Arabidopsis thaliana: one gene and its partner. The protein of the gene in region 2 purifies or fractionates together with the protein of the main gene of each other region. This does not show direct contact. Each region holds a gene or a part of one and is shown on either strand. Other genes may lie near its edges.

Region 1 (8,568 bases), on a different chromosome or scaffold from region 2:
TGAAATCATCACATACAACTTTAATCTGTATAATCATGCTCTCCCTCTTTGCTCTGCATGAATGTACGTACATAATTTTGTTTCTTCTCGTATCAATTACCTTTTTTCTCTTTTTCTTTCCATTGTTAAATTTGGTTTTGTGTGTATGTTCAAATCAATGTGTAGGTGAGAAGATGGAGGTGAAAGAGATAGGGAGATCGAGCAAAATCATTTTACCAGCGTGTATGCATGAGACTTGCTCCGGTGGTTTCTCACTGAAAAATGATTGTTGGTGCTGCTTGCGACTTAAAACTAAACAAGCTCGTTGTTGGAAAGAAAAAGAATTTCCCAACGCTAAGGAGCTTTGTTTCGCCAATTGTCCCCCTCTTGAATAATTTTTATGGATTCTGTCATTTCGAAGCAGATTTTTTTAAAAAACGTTGATAAATCTAAATATGTATGTTGCATATTCGATTTAAGGTTTTTTATGACATTTATTTCGATTTTAGTGGATTCCTTTACATTAATGTTACGATATTCTTATTTTCTATAATTTAAATTCACTGAATATCAACCAATTACATTTCTAAATAAAAATATATATTTTATAGGTGTTAGATAATCCAATTACAGTTGCCACCAAAAAATATGGAATTTAAAACTAAATTACAAGTATATGATATTTAATTTGGATGGGGTTTGTTAGGAAAAGATAAAATAATTTGCATAGTTTTAGTTTTTGAGTCAACCAAATGGATCAATAGATTAATTGAGAAAAAGAAAAGAAAAAAGAAATCAATCATAATGTTTTCGAATTTTTTGGAAAGCTTATACGATGGAATCGGAGACGATGACGCCGCCGACGACGACGAAGACAACAACAACGACGAGAAAACCCCGAAAGCCTCAACGGAAAGACACGATTTCTCGAGAAACGCCGTTCGTTTGTCACCGGAAGAGGAGGCTCAAGCGCGTGGGGTTAAAGATGATTTGACGGAACTTGGTCATACCCTCACGCGTCAATTTCGTGGTGTGGCTAACTTTCTCGCTCCGTTACCTGATGGATCTTCTTCTTCTTCCTCCGATCTATCGAACCATCCCAGGTTTAACCAATCTCGGTCTTCAGATCCTGGATTGAATCAATCGCGTTCTTCAGATCGGGACGAATCGTGTGTTGGAAGTGATACGCCGGAGACTGGAATTAGGTTTAGGAGCTGGGATTTAGAAGAAAAATTGGCAGAAGGCAATGATCCGGAGGATGAGGAAGAAGAAGAAGAGGAAACAGATGAAGAAGAAGAAGAAGAAGAAGAGATCGCTGCGGTTGCTCTTACAGACGAAGTGCTAGCATTTGCGAGGAACATAGCAATGCATCCAGAAACTTGGTTGGATTTTCCTCTTGATCCTGACGAAGATCTTGATGGTAACGTATACATTGAGTCAAGTCTTTCGCTATTAGTCTTCATTGATTTGACTTATAGGCATATCAAAAGTTTGATTATTTCAACTTTTATCTAATGTAGATTTGGAAATGAGTGATGCTCAAAGAGGTCATGCTTTAGCTATTGAGCGTCTTGCTCCGAGGTTAGCTGCATTGAGAATAGAGCTTTGTCCATGTCATATGAGTGTTGGTTACTTCTGGAAAGTCTATTTTGTTCTTCTTCTTTCAAGGCTCAATAAACACGATGCTCATCTTTTGTCTTCTCCACAGGTTAAAAAAACCTGAATCTCAATCTCTTCTTGAGTCAAAATGATTCTTTGTTGTTGCTGTTGTTTATTCAACAAAATCCTTTTGCTTTTGCAGGTGATGGAAGCTAGAGCATTGTGGATGAAAGAGCTTCAGAATCAGACACATTCTTCAAAAGAAAGTAGAGATATGATTCTTGAGGAAGAAGATATTACACCATCAACTTCTAATTACTACAACCATGCTCCTCCTGAGTTTCTTTCTCCAAGAATATATGCTTTTGAACCTCCTTCGATTATGTATCGCGATTTTGAACACGGGTTTGAAAACGCTCAGTTCATCGATAAAGCTGTTATTGAGGAAAAACCAATCCAGAAGAACGACAAAAATAGTGCAAGCCTTAGCCAAACATCTAAAGATGTTGTTGATGATGATGATGATGATTGGCCAGAAGAAGAAGATTCTGCTAATTCTTGGGCTCCAATGTTTACAGTGAATGAGGATGATGTTTCTTTCAGTGATCTTGAAGGAGACGACGATATAAGTAGCTTAGCACTCAAGTCTAAGATTACATCAAAGGGCACAGACCAAAAAGGAACATGAAACATCATCTGGCTTGTTGCTTTGCCCTGCCTCACGAGATCGAATCAATAGAATTGAACATAAGTACTGTGTGCTGAGTCAAATCGTGGAAGTCTTTTGGGTGAGTTTGATTGTTTTGTGGATTTATGATGTTTGCTCTCAAAGAGAAGGAAGAAAGAAAGAAAAAGGTTTTGATTGAAACATGTACAGAAGATTTACTTTGACACTGCAATTTCATTGTAATGTTCTCTCTCGCCAAATGTAATGAAATATTGAAAAGCACTATTTCATTCGCGTGGAACTTAAAAGAAATTGATAGAGAATGGCGCAAGTGAATTCAAGTGTAACAAACTGTTAGAATCATTATTGGATTGGAAAATCATATGGGATTTTATTGCTTATGTTGAGGATTTGTATGTATGAAAATGGGAACAACCAGGAGGAGCTATCATCAATTAACAAAATAACTCCTATGACTTAACTAAAAAACAAATCTATGTTGAAATGTATAACATTTGTCAAAATGCTAGTACTTTGTTAATAATTAAGGGGTGTTATTGGTTTGTGATTTATATAGAGTTTTAGTGATTTAAAAATATTATATAGAATCTGATGTTATTCAATTCAAATTTTCATTTTTTTTTTTTAATTTGGTATTATTAGTTTAAGATTTATAAAAATTAATCTAAAATCTTCGTAAGTAAGATTGCTTCCCTAATACAGAGAAAGAAAGAAAAACCAAGTAAGATTGGTAATACGATGTCGTTTCGCAGAATAATGCAAAGCTGAACCCAATTTAATAAGCTGCACTTTTCTTTCTTTCTCGAGTCTCCCGTCGTTTTTTATGTCAGAACCAATTCGTCAGGTCGTGAATAAGTGACTTTATCGACGAACCACCACTCAGCTGCAGCAAATGATCGTTTAGCTCCGGCGAAGCGTAAAATTCTTCAGATCTCTCTGGAATTAATAATCCGTCTGTTTGATCGATCTGATTCGGCAAATCCTTGAGAAAACAAGGAGGGAAGAAGAAGAAGAACATGGCAGGGGCGGCCTCAGCGCTGTTTCTGCTCGATATCAAAGGTCGTGTTCTCGTGTGGCGCGATTACCGTGGCGATGTCACCGCTGCTCAAGCTGAGCGTTTCTTCACCAAACTCATCGAGACAGAGGTGAAGTTTTAACATTTGGAACTAATGAACAAGCTTGATCAGTGCTTAAAAGGATTCAATTTGATCAGAATCGTTATACTTATGACTAAATGACTAGTGTTTTCTCTGCGGGTTTGCTTACTTTCGTCTAATATGTTCAGGGTGATTCACAGTCAAATGATCCGGTTGCTTATGATAATGGCGTGACCTACATGTTTGTACAGCATAGTAACATTTACCTCATGATAGCGTCCAGACAGAACTGTAATGCTGCCAGTCTTCTCTTCTTCTTGCATCGTGTAGTCGATGTAAGCATCCCTAGTGATTCAGTTTTTTGCATTTCCATCTGTTTTCTGAATTTGAAGAAAAAAGAACGGCACTGTTTCATATGTTACAGTCTTATACTGATCGTAGGTCTTCAAGCATTACTTCGAGGAGTTAGAGGAAGAATCTTTGAGAGATAACTTTGTGGTAGTGGTAAGATAATGCTTCTCACATCTCTTCTTATAACTGTTTTCCCTCTTGCATGAGGTGGATATGTGTGGGCGAAAGTTATTTCTAAAAACATTTACTTATGTTACTGGCAGTATGAGTTACTTGACGAGATGATGGACTTTGGTTACCCTCAGTTTACTGAGGCAAGAATCCTTAGTGAATTCATCAAGACTGATGCATATAGAATGGAAGTTACACAGAGACCTCCAATGGCTGTCACTAATTCTGTCTCATGGAGGAGTGAGGGGTTAAAGTTTAAGAAAAACGAAGTAGGTGCTCAACATTTTACTTTTCAATTGTTTTAGGTTTTCTAATGTTTGCAGACTGATGTTTTGTTTTCCAGGTTTTCTTGGATGTGATAGAGAGTGTAAATATCCTTGTGAACAGTAATGGGCAAATTGTCAGGTCTGATGTCGTTGGAGCTTTGAAGATGCGAACATACTTGAGGTGCGTTCTCTAGTGTCCCTAGTTAACCAACGCATTTAAAATCAAAAGTCCCTCCTCTTTGACTCTCTGCTTCTTTATCCATGTTATTACAGTGGAATGCCAGAGTGTAAGCTAGGCTTGAATGACAGAATATTGTTGGAGGCACAGGGACGAGCAATAAAAGGAAAAGCCATTGATTTGGAGGACATCAAATTTCATCAGTACGTTAATCTCTTGCAACTTTAAACATTCTTTGACAGTCACTCTATCGAGGCCAATTTTTTTACTAACTCGAAAAATTATTGAATACTTGAGTTTTTACACGTCTCTTTCTTCAAAATGTAGGTGTGTTCGATTAGCCCGTTTTGAGAACGACAGGACAATATCATTCATACCACCTGATGGATCTTTTGATCTTATGACGTATAGACTCAGTACTCAGGTTTTAGAATGTGTAATATTGCAGAAATGGTTTTGTCCCCTTCTTAAACGAATTATATCATGATATATCTTATTTTCGCATAATACTTGTTCAGGTAAAGCCTCTTATATGGGTGGAAGCGCATATAGAGAGGCATTCCAGAAGTCGTGTTGAGATGCTAGTAAAAGCTAGAAGCCAATTCAAGGACAGAAGGTAAGTAACAAATGTTACTTAACACGTTTAACCATTACCTGAAATACTGAAATACTGGAATCCTTTAACGCGTTTTGATAAGAGTTCCTTTTTTCTGCAGCTATGCAACAAGTGTTGAGATTGAGTTACCTGTACCAACTGATGCGTATAACCCCGATGTAAGAACATCTCTCGGGTCGGCCGCATATGCTCCTGAGAAAGATGCACTGGTCTGGAAGATACAATATTTCTATGGGAACAAGGTAAGTTCTTATAGTTTAATGTAACACTTGACCATGTAAAGTCGAATGCTTACATTAAGTTTTGAAACAATGTAGGAGCATACATTGAAAGCAGATTTCCATCTTCCAAGTATAGCCGCAGAGGAAGCAACGCCTGAGCGAAAAGCTCCAATCCGTGTCAAATTTGAGATCCCAAAATTCATAGTTTCAGGAATACAGGTTGGTATTACTCACAATGATACGTTATTATCATATAGATCACATTCTTTTTATATTACTGCATTGAAATCTGAAGGCAAACAAACCTGATGTGTGTTAATTATGGGTATTGCAGGTTCGATACCTGAAGATCATTGAGAAGAGTGGGTACCAGGCACATCCATGGGTGAGATATATAACCATGGCTGGTGAGTACGAACTGAGACTCATGTAAAATGAGATCGTTTTTTTGTTTTTACTATTATTTAAGCCATTGTCAACGACACAAAGCAGAGGAAGATCAATGAGAAAAGGAAAAAGATTGAAATATATTAGCTGATAGAATTTGCGGTGAAGGTTGTTTTAGAAGCCATTTTCTTGTGAATTGTTTCATGGCGTTCTCTTTTTTTTTTTTTTTTTTCTGTAAAACTATATACGACAGTTATATATATATTGGGTTACAATTGTTAAACATCGAGTTTTATTTGGGGTTCTTTCAGTTCGTTTACCGATGGAAAATGCATGCAGTCTGGGTGACTACACCAATAATGGTTTTCCTTAAACGTCCGCTAATTTTGTAAGAGTTCACTATATAAATAACTTTGATGAGGCAGTAGAGCAACATGACGAACTAACAAATATTATAATTTTCAAAATGGAAGATATATATTTTACAGTACAACAAATCGAGAGGAGAACAAGAAGAACAATGAATAATCTGTATTAGTAGTAAATAGCCTAAACAAAAACTTAAGCCCTCAACGTAACAACCCTAAAACATTTTTTTTTTGCATGTGATCAATGTACAAAGTTGTTTATTCTGGGTGATGATGATGAACGAGGAGAAGAAGGAGATTGATTGGGGAGAGTCTGAGGAATCTTTCTAAAAACATGTTTCCTGCAACGTTGGAAGATGCTGTCGTATATCAGATCAAACTGAACACCAGCTCTCTCTCTGTTCACTATGAACATTATGTGATCTGCTTCCACTATCTTATAATACCTGCAACAACAAGGTATTCAGATTTTCTCAATCCATCAACGTCATTAGGTCATATATGATTCACTTACCAGATCCCGGGTTGTAATGTTTGACATTCCGAATCGCTCCTTATGAACCGGCTCGGATGCTCAACAGGTAGCCTCGGATGTGTCATTGATATTGTGTTCAATGCCCCGTCGTTCTCTTGCCAGTCCTCATCCCTTCATTCAAACATGTTTTCTTAGACCAATGCAGCAAGGGCTTCAAAAATCAATGTTAAATTTTTGAGTGTTTTTGAGTACCTGTAGCCTTTATAAGGAGGAGAGACATCTTGTGGGAATTTCCATTGGCTCATCTGAAAGACGCGGAGGAAGAGCATCGGGTGGATTCCAAGAACACCTGAAGGGATTGTCATACCCATGACTCTGCGGGTGCGTTTAGTCGCGTAGCTGAAGTAGTAAGTGTTTGGGAACGTCTGGAGATTGGAGTTAATACTTGTTGAGCCTTGGATTGTGAGATCAGGTAAGATCCAATCGCCAGAAGCAAAAGGACCTGCGTTTCCCATTAGGCAATCAACGAGACCTCTCACACCGGTCTTCTTCCAAGAAATGTTGAAGTGATCGAACCCGAAATTGTAATAAGTCTTTAGCCATGAAATGTCCAACCAATCGTACATTATCACGCCTATACGACACAGCTGCAACAAACATATCGGTTTCATGCTCACTCCATCATCTGTCCTGTAACAGCAACAATAAGAATCAACAATTAGGATAAAAGATCTTGGTTTTCTAATACAGGAACATACAATTGCTTCAAAGATCAAACCTTATTTCAAAATGAAGAAACAGGAACATTCCAATCAATTGTAAAGATCCATGTAAATACCGAAAAGAATTGAAAATGTCAGAATGAAAACTAACCGCATGCCATCTAAGTAGGTCCTGGTAGTTCCATTGAATGCCCCGGATAACGATGTCACACTCAGAACCCAATTCTCATTCGTTTCTTCAAACCCTTCAAATGCCTAAACATCATGGTTTCGCATCATTCATCAAACATAGCTTTTAAACCAGAAGATATGCTTCCATTAAAAGAAGGATTCGACACAAACCTGATCTGCAAGCATTTGCTGCAATACACGCACAACTTGCGCACCCGCTGAATGCCCCACAAAATGAATAGGATGATCCTCATCCCATTCAGGGTATTGCCCTAAAACACATACCAAAATCAGACTTGCATTCAACATGAAACATTTGGGGTATATTAGTAGTCTCTTCCAATGAGCATTCATATCAAAATCTAACCTTGTTCGTATCTTCTTCCAAACCGAGAATGTCCACAAGCCTCGCTATGCTCTTCGCCAAAATCAACTACCCCTCCTTTCAAATAATAGAACAATTCCCTTGCCCTGGAAACCAATGTTATCATCACCACAATGCACACATGGTATATCAAGATCTAGATCAAAACAACAAAATCCTAGGAGGTGCAAAAAATGAATCCAATACCTGTCATAGATGCTTGTTAAGGAACCCAAATCAGGAACAAGAACCCTCTCATCTTTCTTCTCAGCACCGCCAAAGTAAGATAAGCCTCCTAATCTCTGCTCAATCAAAGCAATAAGATCAAACCTCAAAACCACAATCAAATAATCAAAAGAACCAAATTTGAGGGGTTTGTTTTTGCATTACCCCTTTGCCAAATCCAAAGATGCCATGAACCAATACAATAGGAGGCAAACCCTCAACATTGGTTTGATTTTGACCGGTTTCTCCGAAAGCGACATTGGACTTAAACAAGTAATCATTCAACGTCTGAGAGATATCTCCGGCAACGGCGGAGCTAAATATATAAAACCCATAAAGCAAATGCACAATAGAGCTCACGAAGAGCTCCGCGAGTTGGAGAGAAGTCATCATCCACAACTTAATCATCTTCTTCTTCTACTTCTTCCCCCAAAAATCAAAAATCGGAGATTTAATAAAAATGAAAAGCAAAAAATCGAGGTAAAGGAATCTCCTTTATCCTAAAAAATCAAAAACTCCCCGGAAGAGGGGAGAGAAATAGAGAAGAGAGCCTTCTTTCAAAAGAACATAAAGAAGATGCTCCTTTGACGAAAACCCAGAAAGGAAGAAAATTCGAAAACTTTGAATTTCCCCGAGAAAATAAAGGAAAATGCGTCGTCTCTCTCTGTCTCTTTTATCATCCAACAAAAA
Region 2 (7,371 bases):
GCATGGACAAATGGGGTATGTTCATATCGATGACGTTGCACGAACCCACATAGTCGTTTTCGAACACGAAGCAGCTCAAGGCAGATACATTTGTAGCTCTAACGTTATCAGTCTAGAGGAACTCGTTTCATTCCTATCTGCTCGTTACCCATCACTCCCTATCCCCAAGAGGTTTGACACTGACCCTTTAAACTAAACCATCTCTCAAACCTTGTAAAATTTTAAAATCATAGATCATGATGATACTCTGTTTGAAAATTTCAGGTTTGAGAAACTAAATAGGTTGCATTACGACTTTGACACCTCGAAGATACAGAGTCTCGGGCTCAAGTTCAAGTCCCTTGAAGAGATGTTCGATGACTGCATTGCCTCATTAGTCGAGCAAGGCTATTTATCTACTGTTCTTCCATAACTCTTGGACTAGAGAATATGTGCAAATAAGATTGGTCTGAAATAGTAGTCATGTGGATTCACAATGAAAGAATGGGATTGGAAAACATGAAATCAAAGATTACAAACGATATAATCTTTACTTGTTTATGAACCAAATCATAACATATTTCTTCTCTCCAAGTTACGCTTTAAGACGAAAATCCCTCCGCAAGAAAAATCAAATGGATAAAGATTTCTCAAAACAATTACTGTAGCCAGAGACAGGGAACATACTTTAACTGCATAAGAATGCATAGATGATGAATAAGACTACTTATCGATTAGTAGCCTGAGCGATTATATTACTTATCGAACTGGCCTCCTCTTTTGCAACCTCCACCAGTTGATCCTTTGACAACATAACAGACAGAGACTGTCATTTCTCAAGAAAAAACTACTACACTAATATTTTCATGTCGATGACTTAAACATACAACTCAGTACCTGAGCGGATATAATCCTGGCTACTGTTTTCTTGCTTGACTCTTGAAGCTCCCCAGCAATCAAGAGCTCATCCAATATGTAATATGCCTAAGAAAGCAACAAGAAATCCAGAAACTGTCAGCAAGATATAAAGATGCAGAGGATAGAGAATCAAGTGACGAATGGCAGAGTCCTTGAGTGTTTGCAGCATGCTATTACCTTGTGGAAGTTAAAAATCAAATCGAGTTCACACACCTGAAGGTCATCAGATAAAACAATTCCTTATCATAATTTAGAGGTTCCGTTAAGGTAAGAGATAGTAAAGGTGGAATCTCAGCAGGTGCTGGTTTTTTTGGTACTCACACTTCCAAAATAGCGATCGAGAATCTCAACATAGTGATGAATGATCTCAAGGACCTCTAACTCGTTATCCTCCTGATCAATGCACATGCAGAAGTAGAGACTTGCATATCTTTTGTAAACAACTTTGTATCCTCTCCATTCAACAAAATTGCAGAGCTTTGGACCTCGATTCAGAATCACTCCACTGAGTTCACGTATAACCTATATACATAGCATGTAAGATGAGAGATGTATGCTAAAGCATAACAAGGTGTGAATGAAGCTCAATACATACCTTAGATCTTTCCTTCTGTGCATAAGGAGAATACCATTTGGTGAGCCTTACCTTTCCTTGCCGGCTAACTAGAAGCACAAAATGTATCTGAAAACACACAAATCAAAAACACACCATTGGTTTCTTATTAGGATCATCAACTCACCAGCTTAAGAAAGAGTCCAACAAACAAAGGTTTCAAATTTGAAGCCATTGAACTGAACTAGGAGGATCGAAACTACGAAAAATCAAACCCAGAAGCTAGCATTATCAAACTAAAGTCACCAAATTTTCTATCTGCAAAGAATAATTTGAAGAGAAATATCTGAAACCACCGATCAAGAGCAGATCCAAGTATCAAACTAATGAAGAAGAAGCATAAGAACGAATCGGAGATGCGAAATTCAAATCCAGGGCAGCATTCGTAAACACAGAATCGAAGATCGAGCATTGTTACCATGATTTCGTAACTCAAGACGGGACAAATCTGTAGTAGCGAAATCCAGAAACTGATAATCGATGATCCTCAACAAGAAAAAAATTCTCTTTGCTCAAACTGTCAAACATGTCGAGTGCCAGGGGTATAATTGTCATTTACATAATTAAAAACGGATTGCATTCCGGGTCGGATCCATGCAAACGGATTGCATTCTCAGCTAATTTTGTTCCATTATTGCAATTATCTTCTTAATCTTATCGAATAGACCAGGGCATTACACATTAAACGTAGCAATTATGTCAAAAGATTTTGAATGAAAATAATTCTTCAATTAATCTTATAGAATTAGTTTCTTAGGTATCAAATTTTTTAATTGTTCTTATACTTGGTGCTGGGTCAAACAACAGAAAAGTATAAGCAATTTTTTTATAACTAAGAATGAAAATATAAAATGCAAATGTAAAGGTAAGTCCATAATCAAAATAGACATAAACAACAGTTTTGATAAGACCCAACAGAAATAACTCCTGACTAACGTGAGCAGCGACTAATGGACACAATTGTGAAGTTATGAACATACTTAATCTCTCACATAAGCTTGTTTTTATTTAACCTTGGAGGGAAGGCATATTCTCTTGCATGCAGGCTTTATTTTTATTTTCTTTGATTTTTGTTTTTCTCAAGTTTCAATGTGTTTTGAAGTTGACATCATCATAGATATTAGGGTTTTAGTTGTTCTCCCAAAATATTCTTTCCCTTCTCTGCGAGACAGTGGAAGTTCAGTTTTATCACAAATTAGAACATGTTTATATGACAATAATCGGAAGATTTAGTTAGAGCCTTAATGTGTGAACATCAATTTACGAATATAATTAAAGTCCATTTTCTCCGTATTACTCACCTAATAATTAGGGGGGAAATGTTATTTAATACCTGAACTTACAAAAAATGGCCAAATTAACCGTGAATTCGTGAAATGGCCGTTTTATCTCTCAACAAAAAGTTGACTTCTATTTTAACCTTTAAGTTTGCGTTGACTCGGTTTAATAAACCACCGTTAAAAATCCTTCTAACAGCGTAATTAACAGCCGTTACAGAACATCCGTTAAGGTGATACGATGACGTTTTGTGCTATCAACAGACTTCAAAGTCGACGAAACCTCTGAAAAATCTCCAAATCAAAACCCAAATCCTAAAAATCATTCTCTCTCAAATTCGATCTGCTTCTCCTTCCGGCGTTGTTTTAGCTGCATCTTGTGCTCCCTCTTCTCCGCCACAAGACTCAGATACCACATTCGTTTCACCCCCAACTTCTTCTCCAATTTCATCTCTTTCTCCTCGCGGTGGTGCTTCGACTCCATCTCCCACCAAATTCTCTGATTCGTGAAGCATTGGAGATCCAATCCTCATAACGACGCCATTCTTTCTAACTAATGGCATTTCAGAAAACGAATTGAAGCAATTAGGGTTTCGATTTTGATTTTGGGGGCAGGATTAGGTTTCGATTTGGGTTTAGGGTAATTGATTTTGTTTTGGGAATTTCTATTCTCGATTTTGATTTCTCTTTAGCACAAAACGTCATCGTATCACCTTAACGGATGTTCTGTAACGGCTGTTAATTACGCTGTTAGAAGAATTTTTAACGGTGGTTTATTAGCCCGAGTCAACGCAAACTTAAAAGTTAAAATAGAAGTCAACTTTTTGTTGAGAGATAAAACGGCCATTTCACGAGTTCACGGTTAATTTGGCCATTTTTTGTAAGTTTAGGTATTAAATAACATTTTTCCCTAATAATAACATTTTTCACGATTAATATGGTCGATTTGACATTTTTCTGTAAGTTTAGATATTAAATCACAAATTAATACTATTTTTTTTTTATGAAACTTACCAATTCTATTCATAAAAACAAACAGAAAAAGGAAATTTAAGCGTTCGTTTTCTTTTTTCACACACCAAGTTTTAAGAGAAACAAAAAATAAATAAATAAAACCTAATATTCGCATTTCGCAACCGCTATAGCTAGTAGCCTAGTAGTTTGAGGTCAAACACGCAAACGCAACAAAAGGTGTCACCAAAACGCTAAAACTCTAAAACGCGGGTCTAGTCGCACCGCCACCACCTCCTCCGCTACCGCCGCTCATACCGTAAATATCTCCCCCGGAGAATTGAAAATTGTTCATATTCATTCCAAGATTGTAGAAAGCAACACCTCCTCCACCATTTCCACCTTGGAGGTTTGACTCACACGCCTGGGCCCCACTCCCCGTAACCTCCGACGACTGAGACGCCTCCGGCTGCTGCTGCTGCACCCCGGTGGTTCTCGGCGGTGGGGTTTCTTCCTCTTCAATCGGTAACCTATCATAAACTGCGTTTGCAAAAGAAGCAGCCATCAACACTACCGGTCCCGAAGCAATTAACGAACCAGCCACATTCCCTCCTACAACTTGTCCTTGACCTCCGGCTAGATACACCGTCAAACCTCCTGCTCCCGGTGGTGCAGGCGGTGGAAGCGCAGTACCGGTCAAAGACAAAATGTCAAACCGACCATGCAGGGTAATCACACCTCCACCAGCCGGAGCCGCAGGTTGCCGTATCGTGACGTTAGTGACCGCACCCGTGCCGCTTATAATGCAAACGCCGCAGCCGCGACGAGTGGCGTAGGTGGAGACTGCCTCGGATATGTCCGAACCGGAGGTGACTTCAAGAACGTGTGATCTAAGGACGTTAGGACTATCTCTAGTTATAATCGTCGGAGGTTTGGGTTTGTTTTTGGAACCTGCAGGACGACCACGTGGACGACGTCCGGAGGAAGAGCCAGAGGCTGTGGCTGAGCTGGTGGCTCCACCGGTGGGAGTGGTCTCGGCCTTTGCTTCGTCTGCTTCAGATCTGTTAAGTTCCATGTTATTTTGATCAGGTGGGGTTCTGGAATCTTCAGGTCTCTGTAGATGCAGTTCTTGCCCTAGAAGAGGGTGCATATAACTAGACATTGATAACAAAAACAAGAAACTGTGGTTTGGGTTTTTGGATTTTTTTGGTTATAGCTAGTGAGAGACAAAGACAAAAGTCGACAGAAGTGGTTTGTCACTGAGAGTATTTCAGAGACTGAGTTTGATTATTAATAATGCTACGGACAAAACAAGAAGACGACAAGAGAGAACAAAACCTTACTGAATAATTAGAGAGAGAGAGGTCTACATATGTGAAAGAGCTGGGTCGGTGAAATTTGTCTGGACCCAGATCTAGATCTTCATGTGAAATGGAATGAAACAAAGGAGAGAAAGAAGTAAAGCAAGAGCATCACAAAACACAGCTCTCTTCTAAACTATAATAAGGTACATATAAATATAAATAATACAAATATATTTGTGTATCCATATAATAATATGTTGGGTTGGTGTAGTGACTTTTCCTCGAGTGAAGCAAAAAAACTAAATTAAGATGTTGACGACCTAAGAAGGGACTGATGGATTCTGCGGGAGACAAAAGAAGGATTCTGGAGAAGTAAATCACGGAGATAGAGAAGTTAAAGGAGAGGCCTTTTGTGACGGTGAAGGGATGGTTTTGTGATGGTGATATGATGATTGTAGATTTGTTTTGTTTTCTAATCTTAAAGCAAAAAAAGAAAACAAAGCGAATGTAAATTGTTATTCCAAAGTCAAGTTACGCTGTTTGATTTCAAGAACTATAACCGACCAAACTATCTGTTAGTGTTTTTTGTCGGTAAATAACATAACGATTGTCCTCTTTTTATTTATTTTTAAGTTCAAACTATTACATTTTAGTATTTTTACAAAATTAAGATCGGAAGTTTTAAAATACTAGCATTTGCTCTTACCATGAGTCTATAGATATATAAATCATGTGTGTTTAATTAACATGACAAGAACCAATTGCTGAAAAAAAACTAAAAATAGTTTTGGTCATTCAAGATCTTTTATTAAAGATCAAAACATAGGAGTAGTAGTTATTTTCCCACCTAAAACTTTGATTTTAGACAATGAACTGGAAATAATTTTGTTCTCTCCTAGTTAATCATGCTGATATATAAACTCATATGGATTACTTTCGAATATTTTCTTTTGAGTGGTGATGAAGTGATCGGACGAGTAAAGCTCAAAAAGAATTTGTGTGTGTAATGAGTAGAGGAAGACAATGAATGGGGCTTCATGGCTGTTATTTGTGAAAAGAGTGGTGGATTTCACATTTTCACATGATGAGCACTTTGCTTTCTTCCTATTTCTTTTTTAGTTTAAACTTTTAGATTTCTCGAGCCACTCAAGACATGGCTTGGCTTTTTTTATTTTATAATGTTCTAATATCAAAATTGCTAAAACTTTACAGAGGGGGCGTGTTTTATGTTACAAACAAAGTAAGCTGAATTAATTTTATGCACATGCTTGCCAATAATACTAATTCGATTTCAACGACTAATGGATGGACATGCATCTTAATATGGCTTCTTAGTTTTTGTTACTTAGCGTAAAGACACATTTCAACAGTTCTTAGGGATTTTCACGATGTATTTAATTGGTTTACATAAGAATTTAAAAATTTAACAATTATTTAAACAAAACATTTAAGTTTTTAATAGTACTATAAAAATATAAGTTTTCATATTTTTTTTCAAAAGAAAGTGTTAAAATTTTTAATTATGTATAAACCATATTAAACTTATAAAAAATTTAACACTTATAAAAAAACCTTTAAAGTTTTAATAGTAATAATAAAATATAAGTTTTAAAATATTTTTTAATAAAACAGAAACAAATGTTAAAAATTTTAAAAATGTGTAAGCCACCTAAAACACCTCTGAAAAGTTTTGATGATATATATCCAACTAGTGTAGACAACATTTTAAAATCTAGCATTTATCCAAAAATATTTTAAAACTTTAAAATTTTAAAAATTTAACACTTATTTTTACAAAATTAACACTTACACAAAATTTATTAACACTTATAAAAAAAATCCTTTAAAGTTTTAATAGTAATATAAAAGTATAAGTTTTAAAATATTTTTTATTAAAAGGAAAACAATGGTTAAAAATTTTAATAATGCGTAAACTATATTGAACCTAGAACACCTCTTAGGGGTTTGGATGATGTATCCAATTAGTTTACACAAAATTTAAAATTTTAACTTTTATCCAAAAAAACCTTCAAAATTTAATAGTAATATAAAAGTATAAGTTTTAAAATATTTTTTAATAATAATAAAAAAGGTTAAAAATTTAAATAATATGTAAACTATATATTGAACCTAGAACACCTCTTAGGGGTTTGGATGATGTATCCAATTAGTTTACATAAAATTTAAAAATTTAACTCTTATCCAAAAATACCTTTTAAAGTTTAATAGTAATATAAAAATAAAAGTTTTATTCCCTTTAAAAACAAGAAAAATCAAAGTTGTTAAAAATTAAATGTTGTAAACCTGAACCTAAAAATAAAAAGTTTAT

What was found. Proteins that work in one complex are often made in the same cells at the same time.
Region 1: the proteins of AT4G35410 (region 2) and AT1G10730 fractionate together in Arabidopsis thaliana (co-fractionation; one large-scale study listed by BioGRID). This does not show direct contact.

What each region holds. Positions count from the first base shown.
Region 1 is NC_003070.9:3,562,181-3,570,748, forward strand, and holds AT1G10730 (Clathrin adaptor complexes medium subunit family protein), read left to right. Parts: upstream 1-3,076; 5' UTR 3,077-3,282; coding exon 3,283-3,411; intron 3,412-3,551; coding exon 3,552-3,698; intron 3,699-3,804; coding exon 3,805-3,867; intron 3,868-3,977; coding exon 3,978-4,154; intron 4,155-4,228; coding exon 4,229-4,332; intron 4,333-4,424; coding exon 4,425-4,532; intron 4,533-4,656; coding exon 4,657-4,753; intron 4,754-4,847; coding exon 4,848-4,945; intron 4,946-5,045; coding exon 5,046-5,187; intron 5,188-5,262; coding exon 5,263-5,385; intron 5,386-5,500; coding exon 5,501-5,599; 3' UTR 5,600-5,926; downstream 5,927-8,568. Other genes in the region: AT1G10717 (EMBRYO SURROUNDING FACTOR-like protein), read left to right, coding at 1-63, 166-374; AT1G10720 (BSD domain-containing protein), read left to right, coding at 784-1,399, 1,500-1,687, 1,781-2,266; AT1G10740 (alpha/beta-Hydrolases superfamily protein), read right to left, coding at 6,163-6,367, 6,436-6,567, 6,649-7,086, 7,270-7,373, 7,461-7,561, 7,657-7,760, 7,861-7,955, 8,044-8,286. UniProt on the Arabidopsis thaliana protein: Subunit of clathrin-associated adaptor protein complex 1 that plays a role in protein sorting at the trans-Golgi network and early endosomes (TGN/EE).
Region 2 is NC_003075.7:16,827,132-16,834,502, reverse strand, and holds AT4G35410 (Clathrin adaptor complex small chain family protein), read right to left. Parts: upstream 2,165-7,371; 5' UTR 1,932-2,164; coding exon 1,929-1,931; intron 1,580-1,928; coding exon 1,493-1,579; intron 1,420-1,492; coding exon 1,219-1,419; coding exon of another isoform or gene 1,189-1,218; intron 1,111-1,188; coding exon 1,075-1,110; intron 964-1,074; coding exon 877-963; intron 782-876; coding exon 707-781; 3' UTR 501-706; downstream 1-500. Other genes in the region: DRL1 (dihydroflavonol 4-reductase-like1), read left to right, coding at 1-171, 265-412; AGF1 (AT-hook protein of GA feedback 1), read right to left, coding at 4,001-4,900. UniProt on the Arabidopsis thaliana protein: Subunit of clathrin-associated adaptor protein complex 1 that plays a role in protein sorting at the trans-Golgi network and early endosomes (TGN/EE).